2 linked regions of the Mytilus edulis genome follow. Each later gene encodes a partner of the first gene's protein in a complex. Links are inferred from orthologs where the notes say so. Each region holds a gene or a part of one and is shown on either strand. Other genes may lie near its edges.

Evidence for each region.
Region 2: negative elongation factor B-like (region 1) and negative elongation factor E-like share a complex: the UniProt entries of both Drosophila melanogaster proteins name them as parts of the NELF complex. The link is inferred for Mytilus edulis from reciprocal best matches to the Drosophila melanogaster genes NELF-B and Nelf-E.

What each region holds. Positions count from the first base shown.
Region 1 is NC_092345.1:65,341,113-65,351,322, reverse strand, and holds the start of negative elongation factor B-like, read left to right. Parts: upstream 1-6,311; 5' UTR 6,312-6,505; coding exon 6,506-7,392; intron 7,393-8,004; coding exon 8,005-8,107; intron 8,108-10,210. UniProt on the Drosophila melanogaster protein: Essential component of the NELF complex, a complex that negatively regulates the elongation of transcription by RNA polymerase II.
Region 2 is NC_092345.1:2,450,232-2,460,172, reverse strand, and holds the start of negative elongation factor E-like, read right to left. Parts: upstream 4,302-9,941; 5' UTR 4,220-4,301; coding exon 4,139-4,219; intron 1,359-4,138; coding exon 1,286-1,358; intron 448-1,285; coding exon 389-447; intron 1-388. Other genes in the region: queuine tRNA-ribosyltransferase accessory subunit 2-like, read left to right, coding at 5,962-6,079, 6,449-6,530, 6,999-7,062, 7,742-7,846, 9,142-9,312, 9,629-9,728. UniProt on the Drosophila melanogaster protein: Essential component of the NELF complex, a complex that negatively regulates the elongation of transcription by RNA polymerase II by RNA polymerase II. The NELF complex, which acts via an association with the DSIF complex, causes transcriptional pausing.

The sequences.
Region 1 (10,210 bases):
GTCTGAATGTGTGATAATTCATTTTAGTTCATTTATATATTTCGGAGTTAAGTATGACGTCCATGCTCACTGAACTAGTACACAATTTTGTTTAGGGGCCAGCTGAAGCACAAATCCGGTCGCGGCATTCACTGACCAAAGCATGTCTTATAGTTTCATCTAACGAAAGTAACAGAGTGCTCAAGTTCACTTCCAATCGATAGATTTGGGGGAGAAATCATGTTATTATGAAAAACAAAAGGATGATGGTTATATTTAGACGAACTCTACAATAAAGACAAAATGACGTAGAAGTCAACAAATACTTGGATAGGCAAACGTATGACCTTCAACAATGAACAAAAAATAGGGCATAACAAACTAACAAACTGAAGGCACGGCGAAATGAAAATCTATAAAAAATCAAACGAGAAAAGTAACGAGAAAAGTAACGACCTGGTTAGTTCCGTAAAATCATCTTGCTCAGTCCTTTAGCTAAGTTTTCAGTAAATAATCAGCTGCATTCCACCAGACATATCATTAGTTACATAGTGTGTGCAAGTGACCTAAATACGGTATATATGGGGTCAGTAAATTCCATATGGGGTGAGAGCGAAGCTCGAATCCCCATATGGAATTTACTGACCCCATATAGAATTTACTAACCCCATATATATCGTATTACGTCACTAGCACACTATGTAACGAATTTATCTTACCAACTATCTGAACGTGTGAAATTAAGACTAGTGATTCTCAAAATGAGCAAATCTTTAATACTGTTAACATTAAGAAAATACTTCCATTGATCCTACAAAAACAGATGCCAACAATAACGACTTGTTAGGTTTAAATGTGTTTTATGAATTTATTTCAATCAATTTCAAATTGAAGATTTTTTTTCTTCTTCTTCTTCTTATGGTATCCAGTTATCCATCAGATTTTTGATGATTACTAACTGCTGCGCATGCGTAGGATAATAATAAATAAATATTTACAAAATAAAAGTGCCAAAAAATAAACAAATACTAACATGACATGTGGTCAAAACTATTTACATAACTACTAGGTTTACTGTTCTATATTGTAGAGTGATAACGATTACAGGCATATCTAGCAGCCCAACGTTGAACCATCTCAAGTTTATTGCATTGTTCAGCAGTATGAGGGTTCCAAACCGAACAAGCATATTCTAGTTTAGGTCGGACAAGTGCTAGATATGCCTGAGACTTAATGTTTGTAATGGATGTTTTCAGATTTCTTTTCAGAAAGCGTAGGCTTTTATTAGCATTACCAATGATGTTATTTGTATGCTGTTATCATTTTAAGTCTGATTGCAGTGTTACTCTAAGATATTTTGCGGAGGAGACAGATTCTAGAGTGTGGCCGTGAAGGATGTAGTCGTGTTTGATGGTATTTTTCTTGTTTGAGGCAGTGAGAACTGTACATTTGTCTGGATGGAAAGCCATCAGCCAGTCTTCTTCCCACTTTGCAGCAGCATCAAGATCTTCCTGAAGGCTATCACAATCTTTTTGAGATTTGATGCTTTTGTATATGATGCTGTCGTCTGCGAACAGTCTGAGTTTACTAGATTTCATATATTCTGGTAGGTCGTTAATATATACCAGGAATAGAACTGGACCCAGAACTGTTCCCTGTGGGACACAGAGGCGGATTTAGAGGGGGGGCAGGGGGCCCGGGCCCCCCCTTTTTTGGAAAAAATTTGGTTGCTTATATAGGGAATCACTGAAGCATGTCTGGAGCGGGCCCCCTCTTAGGTCAGTCAGTGGGCCCCCACTTATGAAAATTTATGGATCCGCCACTGGGACACCAGAAGTAACTGGAGCAATGTCTGATGACTCACCATCCAGGACAACGGTTTGATAAGAAGGCAGAGATCCAGTTAAGTGTTTCATTTTGAATACCGTAGAAATGTAGTTTATATAAGAGTCTTTGATGTGGGACTTTGTCAAATGCTTTGGCAAAGTCCATAATTACAAGGTCTGTTTGGGTGTTATTGTCTGAATTTGAAGCTAGTTCTTGTATGAAAGATAGAAGTTGTGTTTCACATGATCTAGAGTGTCTGAAGCCGTGCTGAAGGTCGTATAATAGGTTGTTTTTTTCTAGGTGGTTAATTAGGTGTTTAGTAATGACATGTTCCATTAGTTTGCAACTGATACAAGTGAGAGAGATTGGTCTGTAGTTGACTGCGTTGTATTTTTCCCCTTTTTTGTATGCTGGTGCGACATTTGCATGTTTCCAGTCGGATGGTATACATCCAGTTGTGAGTGATTTTTGGAAAATAATGGTGAGGATTGGTGCCGTAATGTTTTGAAGTTGTTTTAGTACTCTGTCGCTGATGTTATCTCGGCCAGTGGCTTTGTTCGGATTGATGTTGTGTAAGAGTTTTTGTATGCCAGGTGTGGTAATTGTGAGTGATGGTATGACTGGATGGGGACTTGGCCCTTTATCAGGCATATTATTTGTTGTTTCAGTGGTAAAGACTGATTAAAACTGCTCATTTAAAATGTTGGCTTTTTGTTTTGTATCAGTTGTTAATTAGCCCTCTTTTTTTAGGGGAGAAACTCCACTATTGTCAGTTCTGATTGATTTTATATAAGAAAAGAGTTTCTTTCGTTTTGATTGGTTGCTGTAACTTAGGTCCGGGTCATTTGTTGGAAGGTCAAGGATCATTTTTTCTATGTATGTACAATAGGCACGTCTCTGTTCTTGTTGGACTTGTTGTTTTAGTTTTTTTATATTTAACTATATAGTTTTTGTCCTTTTTTATTTTAGAGTACAATTTATTCTTTTTATTTATCATTTTTCTGAGTTTGTTGTGCACCCAGGGAAGTCGATGTTTAAACGTTAACATTTTATGTGGGATGTTTGTATCTATTGATTTTGTGATATTGTTTTTAAATAAATCCCACATTTCATTGATAGTACTATTGTTGTTATTGTTCATAATAGTAAGCTCTTCTAGTGTTTTTTGTAGGTCTGCTTCTATATTTTCCCAGTTTGCTTTGTCATATTTTAGTATTTTTCTCGGATGTTGTCTAACTTTTCGAAGCCAAGTGTCTGTTTCTATGTAGACGATATCGTGGTCACTTAGTCCTAGTGGTGGTACCTAGTGTGTTTACTTTGTTGACAGTTGTTGGAATGTTAACTAAGATTAAGTCTAGTATTCTTTCTTTTCTAGTTGGTGTGTTAACTATTTGTTGAAGGTTAAAATGTTCCAGTAGTTCTAAAAGTTTATTGTGATGTTCAGCATCCGGTTTACCGGGTATGACCTGAGGTATAGACCACTGAGTCAATATGACCTAAGTTAAAGTCACCACCAATCATGATATTAGTATTTGATGATTCGTTAATTCTACTAAGTGATAGTTCTAGTTGTTGTATAAAAGATGTTCCTTTATCTGATGGTGGTCTGTAATATGCACCTACTAATAATTTCTTACTACCAGTCATGTTTATTTGAGACCAAACTATTTCACAGTCAGTTTTAAGTTTACTTACTTCTGTGCTTATAAGTTCTTTATTAATGGCAATAAGTACACCTCCATGACTTTGGTTATTTTTATTTGGTGGTCTGTCTGATCTATAGACATTAAATAGTTCTGGTGGAAAGATTTTTTCTAAGTACCGTTTTGTTTTTATAAAGGTACATAACACCATTACTAACGGTGTATAAAATAAGCCCGCCCCTTCTTACCTAATATGGAATATAAAGGGACGTAACTCCACTACTAAGATAAAGATAAGATAAAGATATTTTATTTCCTAATCATAGGGCTCATAACAAGCATGTAATCACGTAAAGTAAAAATAAAAAGCCTTTCTCTCCCAGTCGCATACACTCACACATACAACTATCGTTCTGATTAAGGATGATTGATTTTACAGTACAACATGTATAAAATGAAAAAAATAAAATACAGATAAAAAATACCAATACAAATGTACTTTTTTTATGAGGAGAGTCAGTTGCCTACATTGTATATATGGAACGAAAGATAACTCTTACTGCCCAGAAAAGAACAATTCAAGTATATAATGTTACAATGAACTGTTGAAGACTATAAATAAGTTTTATAAGTTTCAGTTAAGCAAATATTTAGTTTCTCAATGTGTAAAATGAGGATAGCAATTCACATAATTTAGAGTTAAAATGAAGGCTATTGTTTGACATAAACCAAATAAGCAGATTACTATCGGATATTTGGGATAAATATAGGTATTTTGCAAAGAGTTCATCCAAAAAGGTTTTTCTTTCCTTATTATAAAGGGTACATTTAAATAAAAAATGTTCTTCGTCTTCAACCGAGTTCATTGAACAAAACTGGCATGTTCTCTCTCATCTTGGCAGTGTAATATTTTTTCCATGGTCATCAATTTTTCGTTCGTAACGGCCTCTCTCTACTAACCGTGTATGAGATAAGCCCCGCCTTCCTACTAACCTAATATCAAATATACACGGTTTGAACGCGGACGCTTTTAACCAATCATATTCCTGGAAATGTATAGGAAGTAAAATAAATATATGTCTTTGATTCCACCCTATCGTGTTTAAGCCGGGAAAGTATGCTGACTAAAATCCAAGTTTCATACTGAAAGAGTGTAACATAAAATATTGTCCTCCATGAAATATTTTCAGTCGGACAAATTTTCATATAAAATATTGTCCACTGACAGTATTTCATAATGAGATATTGTCTTGGACAATATTTCATTATGAAATAGTGTCCTTGTCCATGAAATTTTGTCACCTCCTTCTGCCTGTTCTGGACAATATTTCAATATGAAATTCTGTTCATGACAATACTTCACTATGAAATACTGGCTTTGAAAATATTTTTTAATCGAATTATTTCACAATTAGAAATAGTACACAAGCATGCAGCATGCACATTTCTAGATTTATAACTGAAATTGTTTTGTATAGTAGAGAATTTATATTATTGTTAATAGTGAGTTTCAAATTTGCATAGATACACTACAAATGGTTAATTACAGATTAAAGAATTGTCTAACAAAGGTTTCATTTTATTACATTATACTGTACAAATATAAGTAATGTACTGACAATCGTTTATTTTGTAAATATAAACACAAGTATGTATCGCAGAAAAAAATCCTATATACCTTCTGTAACATGAATATATGTTGTAGGGTATCGGGACCGTTCGCCCTAATAGTATGTTCGCCCTAGGTCCGTTCGCTCTGAGTTCGTTCGCCTATAGAGTCCATTCGCCCTACTATAAAAATATTAATATTGAGGGCATTGAAGTTGAATTAACTTATTTAGATATTTCTATGGTATGTATGTCATGTATATTCTTGAAATTTATTGAAATATTGAAATATTTAAAAGTTCATGGCTTGTTTAGGATAATTAATTGTTCAATGACAAAATAATTTGAATCACTGATTATTGTGATACTTGTCTTTTGGTGGATTAATAATAAAAACAAACATTTTGTTTTGATAAAATATTCAGCTTGAAATTAAGAAAAACAATGATGAACAACTGTAAATTATGAAACAGATAAAATTTACAAGTTCATTTATTTATACTCTAGTCTAAGACTAGTCATATATACTGCCATACATTCGTGATTGACTGAATACAATTATTTTGTTAACAAATATCAATAAAGATGAATACATTGTATTCCAGTATTCTACTCTGTAAATCAAAGGGAAAATGATAAATTGATTGCGGCAGTATAAATATTCTGTCAAATTAAAAAAAAACAAAAACTTTAACATATTTTGTTCAAATACTTAAAATAATGTGACTAGACAAAAACTAGAAAAAAAATAAAACTCAGGGATTCTGTTGATAGCCTCCCCTTCATGAGACAAAATTTAATGACAGTTTGTCTATGAAATGTTGTCTCAATATTCACAAAATATAACCAAAATATAACCTCCCTTTAACAGGACACATTTTCGTAGTATTTATCTATGAAATATTGTCTTAATTCACACAAAATATAACCTCCCTTTAACAAGACAAAATTCCATAGTATTCATCTGTGAAATATTGTCTATTTATACAGACACAAATGCACTATGCAAATTTGTCCTTCTCTGGACATTTTTCCATAGACGAGGACAATATTTCATGATACATAGTTATGAAAAATTGTCTTGTGGTACAATATTTCATAGGACAATATTTTGGTTTACAAGAGCTCATCATAACTCACGTTTGATTGTTATTGTCAGTATCACATATTCAAACTAATTTATTTTTTCCCCCTTAGCATTGGGCTCGTTACAGCAGAGACATATAATACATGTATTATATGTCTCTGTTTTAGCAAACCGTTTCGAAGATATCCTGGTGTGCTCCATGTAGTGGAGAAATAAACTGACAAGTGAGAAAGTTCGTTCTTCCAAATGAAGGTACGAAATGGTATCGACTTCCTGTCGATTTTGCAATTAAGAAAAGATGAAAGTTTGGTGAATATAAAAGAAAGCTGCACAATTTTTACCAAAAATATCCCATCTTTAGATGGCAGGATTGGAAGATTTAGGAATCCCTGGAGGTGATTACCTCAGAGAGTCCCTAACAAATTGCTCGGACCCTCTAGCTGCTATCGAAGAATTTCAAACAGAAAATGGAATTCTTTTGCCATCACTTCGTCCTGCATTGCCTTTTCTTGACTTGTTTGAAATCAAACGCTTAGATTTCCATAACTCAGTTCTTGAAGAATTAAGTGAAAATTTAACAAACAGAATAGCAGAACTGGCCACCAGTGAACAAAAGAATAGATTTACAACACTGGAGTCCTTGTTGGAAAAGTGTTTCCCAGTGATAAGGGTGAAAAATCTCAGACCTGTTGTCATGTCAATATTGAAACATTTACCTAAGATAGATGATAAATATCTGACAAAAATTCTTGAAGACAAAGAACTTTACTCAGAAGCTGCAGTTGAAGTTAAGAGGCAAATTTGGCAGGAAAATCAAGCACTTTTTGGGGATGAAGTCTCCCCTTTACTTTCACAATATATAAAAGACAAAGAAAGTTCACTCTTTAATCATGAGCACAGCACATTAACTTTCTTTTTGCCATCCCCCCGAATAAGAAGACAGACTGATATAGTTCAAAAACTGGCTGAAATGGTGGGAAGAAATGTTAAACTGTATGATATGGTGTTGCAGTTTTTAAGAACTTTATTTCTTCGGACAAGAAATGCTCATTACTGTACTCTTAGAGCAGAATTATTGATGGCTTTGCATGATCAAGAAATAAATGAAATCTGCTCTGTAGATCCCTGCCACAAGTTTACATGGTGTGTAGATGCCTGCATAAGGGATAAATATATTGACAGTAAAAGATCAAGAGAATTGCAGGGTTTCTTAGATGGTATTAAAAAAGGACAAGAATTTGTTCTTGGGTAAGTATTTTTCACATGTACTACAATGTACAAATGTACATGTAACAGTAAAATTGGGAATTTGAAAACTTGCTTGCTACAAATGTAGGTGATCAATTTGGGCTCTTGTATATTTAATTAGGAACCCTAAGATACAAAATATAACACTCTGCAAGAAATTATGTCACATGGTCACAGGGACAGCAAAAGTGCAGATTCATTTTTCATCAAAACAGACATTGCTTTTGTCCTTACATTTGTGTACATCATCTTGCATACATGTACACATGAACTTTAACTGATGTATTCCATAAGAGGACAAATCAGTATGTATGTATATACCAATCTTTTAAGTCACTGGTTCAACCATACCAAGCTCACACACAACATTAGGTATTTAAACATGTATGTTACATGTACATGTACATATATCTTGAAAATCAACTATAATGTACCTGTATACAACCATTTACCAATATAAGAAAATGAAAAGTTAATGTACAGATTAGTATTTATGTGATTTAGATGATCTGTGTAACTCTAACCACAAATTACATGATTCCAATGCAATACTTTTGTTTTTATCAGTAAAAAGTAAATGTGACTGAAGCATTTTTTTTTTTTTCATTCAAGAGACTTGTCTATGATTTTGTGTGATCCCTATGCGTTGAACACCATAGCTTTGTCCATGATGAAGACATTACATCATTGTGTAAACAATGATATTTTACCAAGGGTAAGTAAAATATAAGCCAGGAAGAAATATCTGAATGAAGAGATATATATATATATATTTCTCTTCATTCATTTTCAGATATTCTCGCTACATTGAAGACCTGTTGGTGACCTTCTGCTGTTGTTTTTTCTATGGTTGGATTGTTGTCTCTTTGACACATTCCCCATTTCCATTCTCAATTTTATATATATATTTAGACTTGTTTTATATATAAACAAGTCTAAATATATATAGCATTGCACGGAGACCTTATCCCCTCATGTAACTCTAGCTTATAAATATAAGCTTTCGTTTCGGGAGGTGTTACCTTCTTGTAGGAATTAAACAAGGATCTCTGATACAATACATGAATTATTACACTCATCTGCGGCTTAGCTTAGCGAAAGGTAGTGCGACGTAATCAGTCAAACAAACTTTATTAGATTAACTCTCTAAGGAACGATCGTTTCCATTGGTCAATTCAAACCTTCGACTTCACACCTTCGAAAATAGAACACACATACTATAACGTTGAATGGACTGATTAATATTCACGTATCTGGTCAAGGTCGTTTAAAGCTTCCATCGACGTATTCTCATACATGATTCCAATCACAATTCTAGCTTTTATAAATGTGCATGTGAAATTCATTGGTTTTATAGTTTTCTGCAATTGGTAGTAAAGTTTAAACTATAAAATCTTAACAGTTTTTACATTTAAATATTAATATTAAAATAATTTAAATGTCTCCTCTAGATCAAGGGACGACATCAAAAGTTCAATGTAGGATAAAAAAAATCAATTCACATATGGTTTCATTTACTCCCCCCCCCCCCAAGTTGCTTATCCTGCATTTTCTTTTACTTAATGGACTCGATGAATTAACGTTGTACTTGAAAAATGAAACCGTACTTTACTACAAACACTTCATATTCTTTTCCAAGTTTTATGTATTCGACATAGGATAGCGATTTTTTTTCTGATTCCGTTTACTTGAAGAAAAAAAATCCCGAAATTGTAAGTAAATTCATAACATGTAACCAACCTTGCTTTGTTAAGAAAAAACGGAGATGGCCAATCATGGCACAGGGGATGATTAAATGTAGTTTATAAACTCCAACGATATACTTAGGTTTTGCTATTCTCGGTTGAAAAACGAACGTAAATTATATATTGTAAGTATTTAAAGACCGTTGGGTTTCCAGTTTAGATGGTTTTACACTCATGAGTAATTTTGGGGACCTTTATAGCTTGTTGTTCAGTGGCTCCGTGTTGAAGGCCGTAAATTGACCTATGATGGTTTACTTTTATAAATTGTTATTTGGATGGGGAGTTGTCTCATTGGCACTCACACCACATCTTCCTATATCTATGTAAATAGAAACAAACAGTTTTTAAAAAAGTGTTTTTTCATTAAATCATTTAAATGTATCGATAAAAAGGTGAGTGTCTTCTTGTACATGTGCATTTAGTCATCCTTAATTTCTTGATATTTTGTTTATCAGTTAAGGCAGCAACCATTTGATTTTCTGGGGGGGGGGGGGGGGGGCTATGGTTTTTTTTCTGGACAAATTTTTTTTTCGCCTATGGTGAAAAACAATCTATTTTTTTCGCGACAAGTCGAAAACAATTTTTTTCTTTCAATTTTAGCATTACATATAGTGGCAGCTGAGGGTGAAACAAACATTTTTTTTTCTCAGAATCAAAAACAAATTATTTTTTTCTCTAAAACTGGAAACGAAACTTTTTTTTCCAAAAAAAAACATACCCCCCCCCCCCCAGAAAATCAAATGGTTGCTGCCTTACCATACACGTTTCGTTTTTCATTTTAAATACGAATACATGCTACATATACTTTAGCGGATAGTCCAACAATGTTATGCAGCTCTATTCTTACAGTATAAAATTGAAAGATAAATGTTCATCCATTTAAAATCGAAAACAGTATATTTGTATTTAAAAAAGAAGATGTGGTATGATTGTCAATGAAACAACTCTCCACAAGAGACCAACATGACACAGAAATTAACAACTATAGGTCACCGTACGGCTTTCAATAATGAGCAAAGCCCATACCGCATAGTCAGCTATAACAGGCCCCGAATTCAAACAAGAGAATTGTT
Region 2 (9,941 bases), about 63 Mb from region 1:
AGTTGTCTCATTGGAAATCATACCACATCTTCTTATAGATACAGATACAGTGTAACCTGCATTATCCCACAAATTGGGAGACCAGAAAAAAATTGTCAGATAAAGCAGGTTTTTCCTGAAAGGAAAGGCATATTTTTGGACCATAAAAATGTGTCGTTATAGCAGGATGTTTGAATAGTTAGGTGTCGGATTAGGCAGGTAACACTGTATAATAACGTGGTATTCAATTACCAGTGGCGGATCCAGTACTTTTCCTAAGGGGGTCCGCTGACTGACCTAAGGGGGGCCTGCTCCAGTCATGCTTCAGTGATTCCCTATATAATCAACCAAATTTTTCCCACAAAAGGGGGGCCCCAGGGCCCCCTTGGATCCACCTACAATTACCTACCCCTAACTTCAATAATTTTTTAGCTTGTTGTGTGGCATCTCCTGCATTTTCTGGAGGCGCTACAATAAAATCAAAATGACTAAATAATGCTTTAGATTTAATTCATTCATTAAAAAGTGTATTTTAAATTTATCTTGATCATGTTGATCAGGATTATAATTTTCTTCTACTCTATTATACAGAAATTTAATTTTCAGGTGAGCAAATTTTCAAAATATGCCATACATTTCAATTGTTTAATGGCAAGTCATAATACTTCATCTTAACAACATTTCAGAAGCTGACTAAGTTTATGATCTATACACAGTCTTAAAAGTACTGGTATCTCCTTCAGCCAACTTGGCTTAAGTTCATCTCCTTTAAACAGGGCCTTTAATTAATCACAATTTTAATATGATTTGGCTATTATGATACATTTATATGATTGATCGAGAGGGCTTCCAGTAGTGGCTCTCGACATTATGCACCAATTAAATTTTCATTCAATGACACAAATATACAATTTTTGGTTGGATTGTTATCTCTTTGACACATTCCCCATTCCCATTCTCAATTTGAAAATCTATGTATAATAGAGGTTACAAGTGAGGAAATTAAGTTTATTATCTTAAATTTTAAAGAATTATAAGGATTTGACACCAATTTAAAGGAATTTATTGTATGTATAAACTGGGCCAAGTCACTCACAAACATATTATAAAAGTCCTTCCTTTATTTGTTTAAGAGTGAATTGGTTAAGTTTATACACCAATAAATTCCTTTAAAAAGGTGTTTAATACTTTATGACTACATAGTCTTAGTACAATATTCACCAAAAAACATGAACAAATATGGAGATTCTAAAGTTCTTAGATGGATCTAAATTTCAATGATTTTAATCTTCTTCGAAATATATACCTCGTTTTGTTGGCGCATTGATTGGTTGTTCTTTCTCTGGTTTTGGAGTTCTAGCAGCTAATAACGCTTTTTTCTGAAAATAATAAGGGATATACTGATATATCATGATTATATAAAATTGTCTTTGCAAAATGAAATGTTCCTAAATTTTCTTAATAGTTTTTTTGTTGTTGCACATGCACTTAAAATGGCAACTTGATTAACTCTGGTTGATGTTGAAGTAATAAATGCTCTCCTATTAATCATTTAAGACTGGCCTATTACTGTTTTAGACCCAATTGTCAAAACTTGGTTGATTCTGTTCCACCATCTACATGATCTTAGATTATTAGCGGATTCATCTGAAGTTTGCCAATTGAATTTAGACAGCTGCTTCAGTTCCTGTTCATATGGGATTAGTGTGACTCTGTACAAGGCATCATTCTGACTGATTTGATAATTTTCTGTGTGAAAAAATATACCAATTTACAACAGTAACACATCTATATTCTGTACAAAAATTTTTCAAAGACTGCCACATTATTGGACTGTCAAACCATAGGATTGTTGGAGTTAAGGACTGTCAGAATTAAAGGTCTGACACCATTTAAGTGACGGTACATTGAATGACCGAATAACACCATTATAATCCAAATAACACTTGTAATGAACGAATAACACTTGAAATTTTAATATATGCACGTGCATGTACATATTGGTGACTTTTAAACATTGATTATTAAATAATAGTATATTATCGATGTATTTTTTAACTTACAAATGATTTACAGAAAGCAGGTAAGTTTATAAAGATCATTTTGAATAAAGTGTGTACACCCAACATGGCGACCACAGAAATCACAATGGCTGCCATGTTAGATGTACACACAAAATTTAAAATGATCTTTATGAACTTACCTGCTTTCTTTAAATCATTTTATAAGTTATAAAATACATCAATTATATATTACTATTTAATAATCAATGTTTAAAAGTCACCAATATGAGCTACTAATATAACATAGTATTCAAATTTCAAGTGTTATTTGGATATTACAATTGTTCAGCGGATAATAACGGTGTAATTCAGTCATTCTTGTTACTCTTTAAGTGATGGATATGCCAAAGATAGTACATCTGTAAAGCCCAAGTCACACTATACCATGATCGCACCATGCTAACCAAGATCTTATATAAACAAAGATTGTGGTGAGGTTGCATTAGGAAAATGTTAATTTTCGTTATTTCATGATGAAACTACGTCCTCATTATGTTTCTACAACGATCCCACTACAATTATACCACGTTCTCACCACGCTTTTCCTACCATTATCATGATCTTACTACTGTCATCACATTCTCACTTCGACTGTACCAAAAGTTATCTGATTGCAACACGATCTTACCACACTTCTACTGCGATTAAAGCACGTTCTTAACACAATTATACTACATTCATATTGCGATCTTACTACATTCTCAGCAATAACATCAACATCCTGTTCCATATAAATACTTTTCCATTCCTTATATTTCTGATTAAAACGTAGATTTCTCGGAAAAAACACAGTCATGCCACCAAAATCTACCAGAACACATGGGCATGGTGGTAGGAGTAGATGTAGAGGCAGAGGGAGCTCTGATAGTAACTAATCCTGATCTAGCAGAGATGTCGGACCAAGCAATCCAACCTGATTCACAACCTATTGCTGGTCCATCAAGCTCAAATGACAATGTTTTAGGCAGCAACCATTTGATTTTCTGGGGGAGCTATGGTTTTTTTTGGAAAAAAAAGTTTGTTTCCAGTTTTTGGAGAAAAAAATAATTTGTTTTTGATTCTGAGAAAAAAAAAATGTTTGTTTCACCCTCAGCTGCCAGTCTATATGTAATGCTAAAATTGAAAGAAAAAAATTGTTTTCGACTTGTCGCGAAAAAAATAGATTGTTTTTCGCCGCAGGCGATAAAAAAAGGTTGTACAGAAAAAAAAACCATAGCCCCCCCCAGAAAATCAAATGGTTGCTGCCTTAGTGAACAATAGCAGGGATGACACAGATCAAGCATGGTTGAGCCTTTGGAGAAAAACAACAAAAGGTCCAAATTACATATATATAGACAAACAAAACCTGGAGGGCTTTTATGTATTTCATGTGAAAATGACAATGAGCATGATGGTTGTAGTATGAACTTAGTCAGGTTATAAGAAGAGCGTGATGATAATGGCATTGGTGTGCTAGAATTGACTATGGTCTTAAACAGCATGGTGTAAATGTGGTATAGCCATAATGGAAGAGTAGATCGCAGTGAGACTGTGATGGTCATAGTGAGCTTGCAGTAATGTTGCTGTGAGATCGTACATGTAGCGCAGTCTCTCCTAATTGAATCACGCTTTGGCTACGCTCTTGCTAAGATGGTACAGAGACCTTTGCGATCTTACAACTACCTTGCTGCACCCTCACTACACTTCTACTACGACCTGATTTCGCCTCAACAGCACCATGATTGTTTGGAACATGTTCAAAGTTGGCCACGCTCATCACGATCTTGAAGACCTTACCACCACCGTATAACGACCTTACTTAGATCTACAAGATCACACTATGATCGTTAAAATTTGCATTTTTTTTCACAGATCGTGGCCTAGTGTGACTGTGGTATTAGATATTTGCTGGTATTATCGAGGACACATTAAGGAAATGTAAATGACTATAAAAAAAAATCATGAAGAAGATAAATAATAGGAAAAAAGATGATTCATGTATGAAGCCGATTTGGCCTTGGTCGTTTCGGCCAAAAGTGGAAAACTCGAAAAGTTTGTTTGGTCATTTTTTTGTTGTTTTTCCAAGCAAACCATTGCACACGATCTTAAATGTTAACCTTTTTTCTTAATTTTGCATATTTCTGTTTGAGAATTTCTTCTTCTTCTGTCAGTGTTGGTGGAAAAATAATGTGAACCATTCTGTATTCTATATTTCAAAACCGTAAAATTATAATCTATCTATCACAAAATATCAGCTTTCGTTTGTAGAAGGTAAAAAAACATCCAAATGGGAGAATTAAATTCAAAAACATTTATCAGAAAAACTAATGGTTTTAGAAATGTTTAAATGTTTGATAACAATGGGCTTTTTTTAAATTTTCATTAATGAAACCTTTTAGAGAGTATTTATTTTTTGAGATTCATTCTTAGGAATATTTTTGTTGTAGAAATTAAGGGTCCCTTTGGACTCACTAAATACCACAAATGAAAACAAGTAAAATAGTATAGTGAGTACACATGGTACACGTAAAAATAAAGAGAAGCAAACCGTATGAAGAAACTGAATTTTAGATAATTATGTTCCATTCCAAGAATTTACAGCTTTTCTTAGAAAAGTCCTACTCTCGAAACAAAATGTCACACCCACTAACATGAAGGAAACAACTGTCAAAACAGTATACAGTCACATCTGTATCTGTCTGCCTCTCTCTCTTGACATATACTTCTTCTATATTTATAATGCAAACAGTAAGCATACAGCTATTCTGCATTTGTATTTGTCGCTATTGTCAGCTATGTGCAGGGTTGAGAGATATGTCTTCCCAAATTTCCCTCCCCCAGAAAAAAGATCTCGTCCAGGATCCTAAACAATGAGTTTTCAATTCCCAAAGTCAGATAATTGTTTATCAAGAATTCTGTAAAAATCAGATAAGCCCAATACCGAATTTAACAAAAATAAGCTTAAAAAGAGGGACAAAATATACTAGAGGGATAGTCAAACTCATAAATCGAAAAAAAACTGACAACGCCATGGCTAAAAATGAAAAAGAAAAACATACAAACGATAGTTCACATGACAAAACACGTAAAACTAAAGAATAATTAACACAAACCCCACCAAAAACTGGGGGTGATCTCAGGTGCTCAGAAAGGGTAAGCAGATCCTGCTCCACATGTGGCACCCGTCGTGTTGCTCATGTTATAACAGAACCGGTAAATAGTCTAAATTGGTAGGTCACATTCATGAAAGGGAAAGGGATTGTAGTTATGACGTAAGGAACATATCCGATATCATCTGTGAAACAGTTATTCCATAACGGTCAACCAACTCGTGATGGCATCTGTAAAATTTATGAAGCCATTTGAAACTCTTGGTTTAATAGCTTCCTTGTGAGCAGCAACCCTCTATTAAGAAAATCATGATAAGAAAAACAAGCACGGAAATATCGTACCAATTTAGGAGATATGTACCCTGTATGCAGGTGCTGCTGGAATGTTGCTACTTAGAAATGGAAAGTTCACAATTGGAGGGTTGAGTTTGAAATGGTTTTTCTGCCCAGCATTAACGCATTTACACTTTTTAGTATTTAGCTATATATAGCCTCAAAATGACCTTAAATCTACTCTGAATCACCTTTTTGACGTCAAGCAACAATCACTTTTTAAATGTGAAGTCAAATTTTTGAATTATGATGTCAGAGTTTACGGGAACCTGTGTGATTTTACGTAATGGCGTACAAATTTGCATACAAGTGTAAATATGTCTATTGTCCACAGCAATGTTTACTAGAAAATTAGGGTTTTTTTTTAAGTTGATATGATACACATACACGATATGATGACATTCAGTATTGCATCTTTAAATTTATAATATTTTATCATTGTTTTTTTTTATTTTTAGTATTCCCATCTGATTTGAATTACACAACTGTAAGAAAAAATGAAGTTTTCTGTGCAGAATGTGAAGAATGGTTGTCGTTTAGGGCTTATCACTGACCTAGGAAAGAATGGAACCAAAAGTATAGAAACTCCTATGTGTATGTTATATACCAGAGGAGGTAAGTAAATTATGGATATGAAAATAAGTAGAGTTTAAAAAGAAATTGAAGAAATTTGCAGAAACCTATATTGTTTGTGTTTTGTATCATAGAAATGAAAAGTATGTTTTTAGGACAATATTTCTGTTATAAAATAATTATTCCATTTTTGATAACTGATCCTATTTTTATTAATGACTTATAACCTACCACTGAAATAAAATTGTATGCTACACCACACTGTTATACTGTTTAGTTTCCACATTTATAATTCATTGTGTTTTCAATTCTCATTTAATCCTATCCAACAGTTTACATTCATTTCAGTGGCATTTTGTCATATATACCAATTGACATTTACATCGTGTTATATTTTTTCGTCTTTTTTAGGCAATGCTCCTCATTTGACGTTAGACGTCTTAAAGAAGATACAGAGAGTTCCTCCAATGGCTCACATGTATTTAAGTTCTCTGTAAGTAAAATAAAACGAGTAATTATAACTTTTTAAATTTCATTGTATTAGTTGAAATTTTACTTTTTAAAATGCAAAAAGCATTGTTCAGTTTTATGTTATACATTATGATTCAATTTCATAATTTTACAATGAAATTAGATGAACCATGAATCATTTTTTTCCCTTTACAATGGAATAAGCAGAGTTATGTCCCATGATCTATGATGTTCACTTTTTCATTCATGCCCTTAAAGATATTTATTATGGGAAATATGCATGCCTTAATTTGACTAAGTCAACATAAATGTATAAATTCAAGATGTATATTATGTATGGAGTATGACCTTCATTATATCTTTAATATATCCATGTAAATTTATGATGTAATATAAATGGATTGTTTTACCTGAGGGCTGTATAGTCAGTCAATGTTGTTAAAAACTCCCACCATCATCATCATGAATTGTTAATGTTTTTTTCTTCCAGGGCAGAACATAGTGAAGCTGTCACACAGTTTAAGGAAGGAATAGCTAATTTCTGTGGCATGCAGGTAAATATGGCTTCAGCTTTTAGTTCTACACCAAAAAATATTGGTCTTTTTAAATGTGAGTTCTACACAGGTAAAATAGCTATGTCCGTTAAAAATCAGTAATATGTCTGTATTATATGGAAGACTTACTGACAAATAGTACCTCAGACTTACAATGTCTGTTGCTTATAACGCGTAATACATCTATATCAACTCGTAAAACATATTAGCATAGGCACATCTAATTTCCATGGCAATTGTTTAGCCCTGTACCTTCAGTCATGGTTCATTGACTTTAAATCTTTGCATAACTTATATGTTAAAGTATTGCTATTCTTATTTCAATATTTGTATTATCAAAATAACACAAATAGGCGAGACATATATCTGTGTTTAAAGTTTATATCAATATCTACATAACCTTTAATGACAGGATATATTCCATTGATAAAAAATGCCAAACAACAGATTGCAAAACCGTGGAGTAAAAATCTGTACAGGTTTTATAAACTTGATTTTAGATTCTTTCAGCAACACATCCATTTATTTTTATTAATGGGCCCATGTTTGAAGATAATATAGGAGAAATATTTTGTTTCTGTAATTACATGAGTTATACATATGTTGAAATTTTAGTAATTTTAGGAAGTGTATGTGTATTTAAAGAAAATGTAAAACAAAGTTTATAATTTTTTTAAAGGATTTTGCAGTTTACTGTTCCTTACATGACCCAGCTACAGAGGTACCTTCGGGATACAATGAAAAATCAGGGACAGCAATCTGGACAAAGGGAGGGAAGTATAAGGTATAGCCTTTTCACCTTTATAGATACTTTGTATGTTCTTTTCTTATATATTTGATGCGTTTCCCTCAGTTTAAGTTTGTAACCCGTTTTTTTTTTTTCTCAATCGATTTATTAATTTTAAACAGCAATATACTACTGTTGCCTTTATTTATAAGCTGACTATTATTTGCAAAAAGTTTAAAAGAGCTGAAAAATTATTTGGTGTTATTTTCAAATAGAAATAAAGAAGATGTAGTTTGAGTGCCAATGAGACAACTCGGCATCCAAGTCACAACGTGTAAAAAGTAAATGTTTACTTCTAAAATTATTTTGGTTTGTTGCTGGTTTACCAGACAGAAAATTAAAATAGTGTATTTATAACAAAATAAGGCTAATGACCTAGTTTGAAATGTTATAAATTTAATTCTGCATTAAAGAATCATCTTGTTACTAGGATTATTAGGAAAGAAAGCAGGTGGGTCATTTACATAAAAAAGATATTAACCTAGCAACACACAAAAACAATGGAAACAAAATTTCTTAACCCAACAACACAAAAACAATGGAAACTGTAAATTCGGAAACTATTGCGTGTATTTATTATTGTGAATTTGTAATTTTAGACTAAAATGCGATTTTAATTGTTGCGATATTGAGCAAAATCCTGTTTTAATTCTTATAAAAAATTTCAAAATGCATTTTTAAATTATTGAGATTATAACCCTGTCACACTTTTCGCAATAATAAAAACATCACAATAATTTCTGAATTTACAGTAAATATAGACTCATTAATTTGGATTAGAAAATATGAATTTATACAATTATTTCATGGATAGGATAATCTTAGAATTTTATAGCCCTTCCTGTTCCTGGTAATTATTTTCTATTCACAAAATATAAGACTCTATTCATAAAAATGAGAATGGAAATGAGGAATGTGTCAAAGAGACAGCAACCCAACCAAAGAGCAGAAAATAGCCAAAGGCCACCAATAAGTCTTCAACACAGCGACAAAATCTCGCACCTGGAGGCAGCCTTCAGCTGGCTCCTAAACAAAAATGTGTTCAGTGAAAATGGAGTCACACTAAACTCTGAAACATATAAATGAACTAAAATTTTAAAAACATGCAAGACTAAAAAAGACTAGACGGCAGAGGTTTCTGACTTGGGACAGACACATAAATGTAATGAGGTTTAACATAGTTTATGAGATCTCAACCCTTATTAGAACAATGAGACATAGAAAGTACTGATGTATCAGATGAAAGAACCTTTACATGTATTATTATTTTTTAAAACTTTTTTATTTGAAAGTTAGATGTCATCCACTTTATGCAAATCCAGGAAGCTTTTCAACCTGATATCTGTGAAGCATTGTATGACGGGGATACAAATAAAGATTCTACTCGCAAACGATTACTGAAAGCAATGGATAGAACTTTGAACTATCTTGATGAAATTCAGGATAAATGGAAAAGTTCTCAGGTTTGTATGTCTCTTAAAGTCTTTTAGAGTAACTGTCTTGCCACTAGGTATTTACTTGTACCTTCTGTTTACTTGACACCTACATTTTTTGTCACACTTTGCATACTTTCTCTTTGCAGTGGGTGAGGGGAATTAATCGAGTGTGTTCATTATTTTAAAGAATATTATTTTAGAAACAATGAACTATAGTTGTTAATTTCTGTGTCATTTTGGTCTCTTGTGGTCGTTGTGGAGAGTTGTCTCATAGGCAATCATACCACATCTTCTTTTTAATTTAGCTTTTATTAATACAATTTTTTGTTGACTTATGATACAGAAGTTACAGAAGACAGCACTGTTTGGAGTTATAGAAGGAGGATTTAGCATACAAGAAAGACAGAAGTCTGCACATGAAACTGTTACTAGAAATGTAGATGGTGAGCTTGTCTTAGTTTACTTGTAACTTCTACTCTAAAAGTGATAAAGATATTAGAAAGAAAAAAAAACAGTTGTAAACAAAAAAGCATTTGTATGCCAAAAAAAAAAACATCATTAGAATTGGTTTTCGAATAAAAAAACTTACTCTACAATTTAGATCCTTATCTCAACCAGAATCTGACCAGTTGGAAATTAATCTTCAGTGCTAAAAA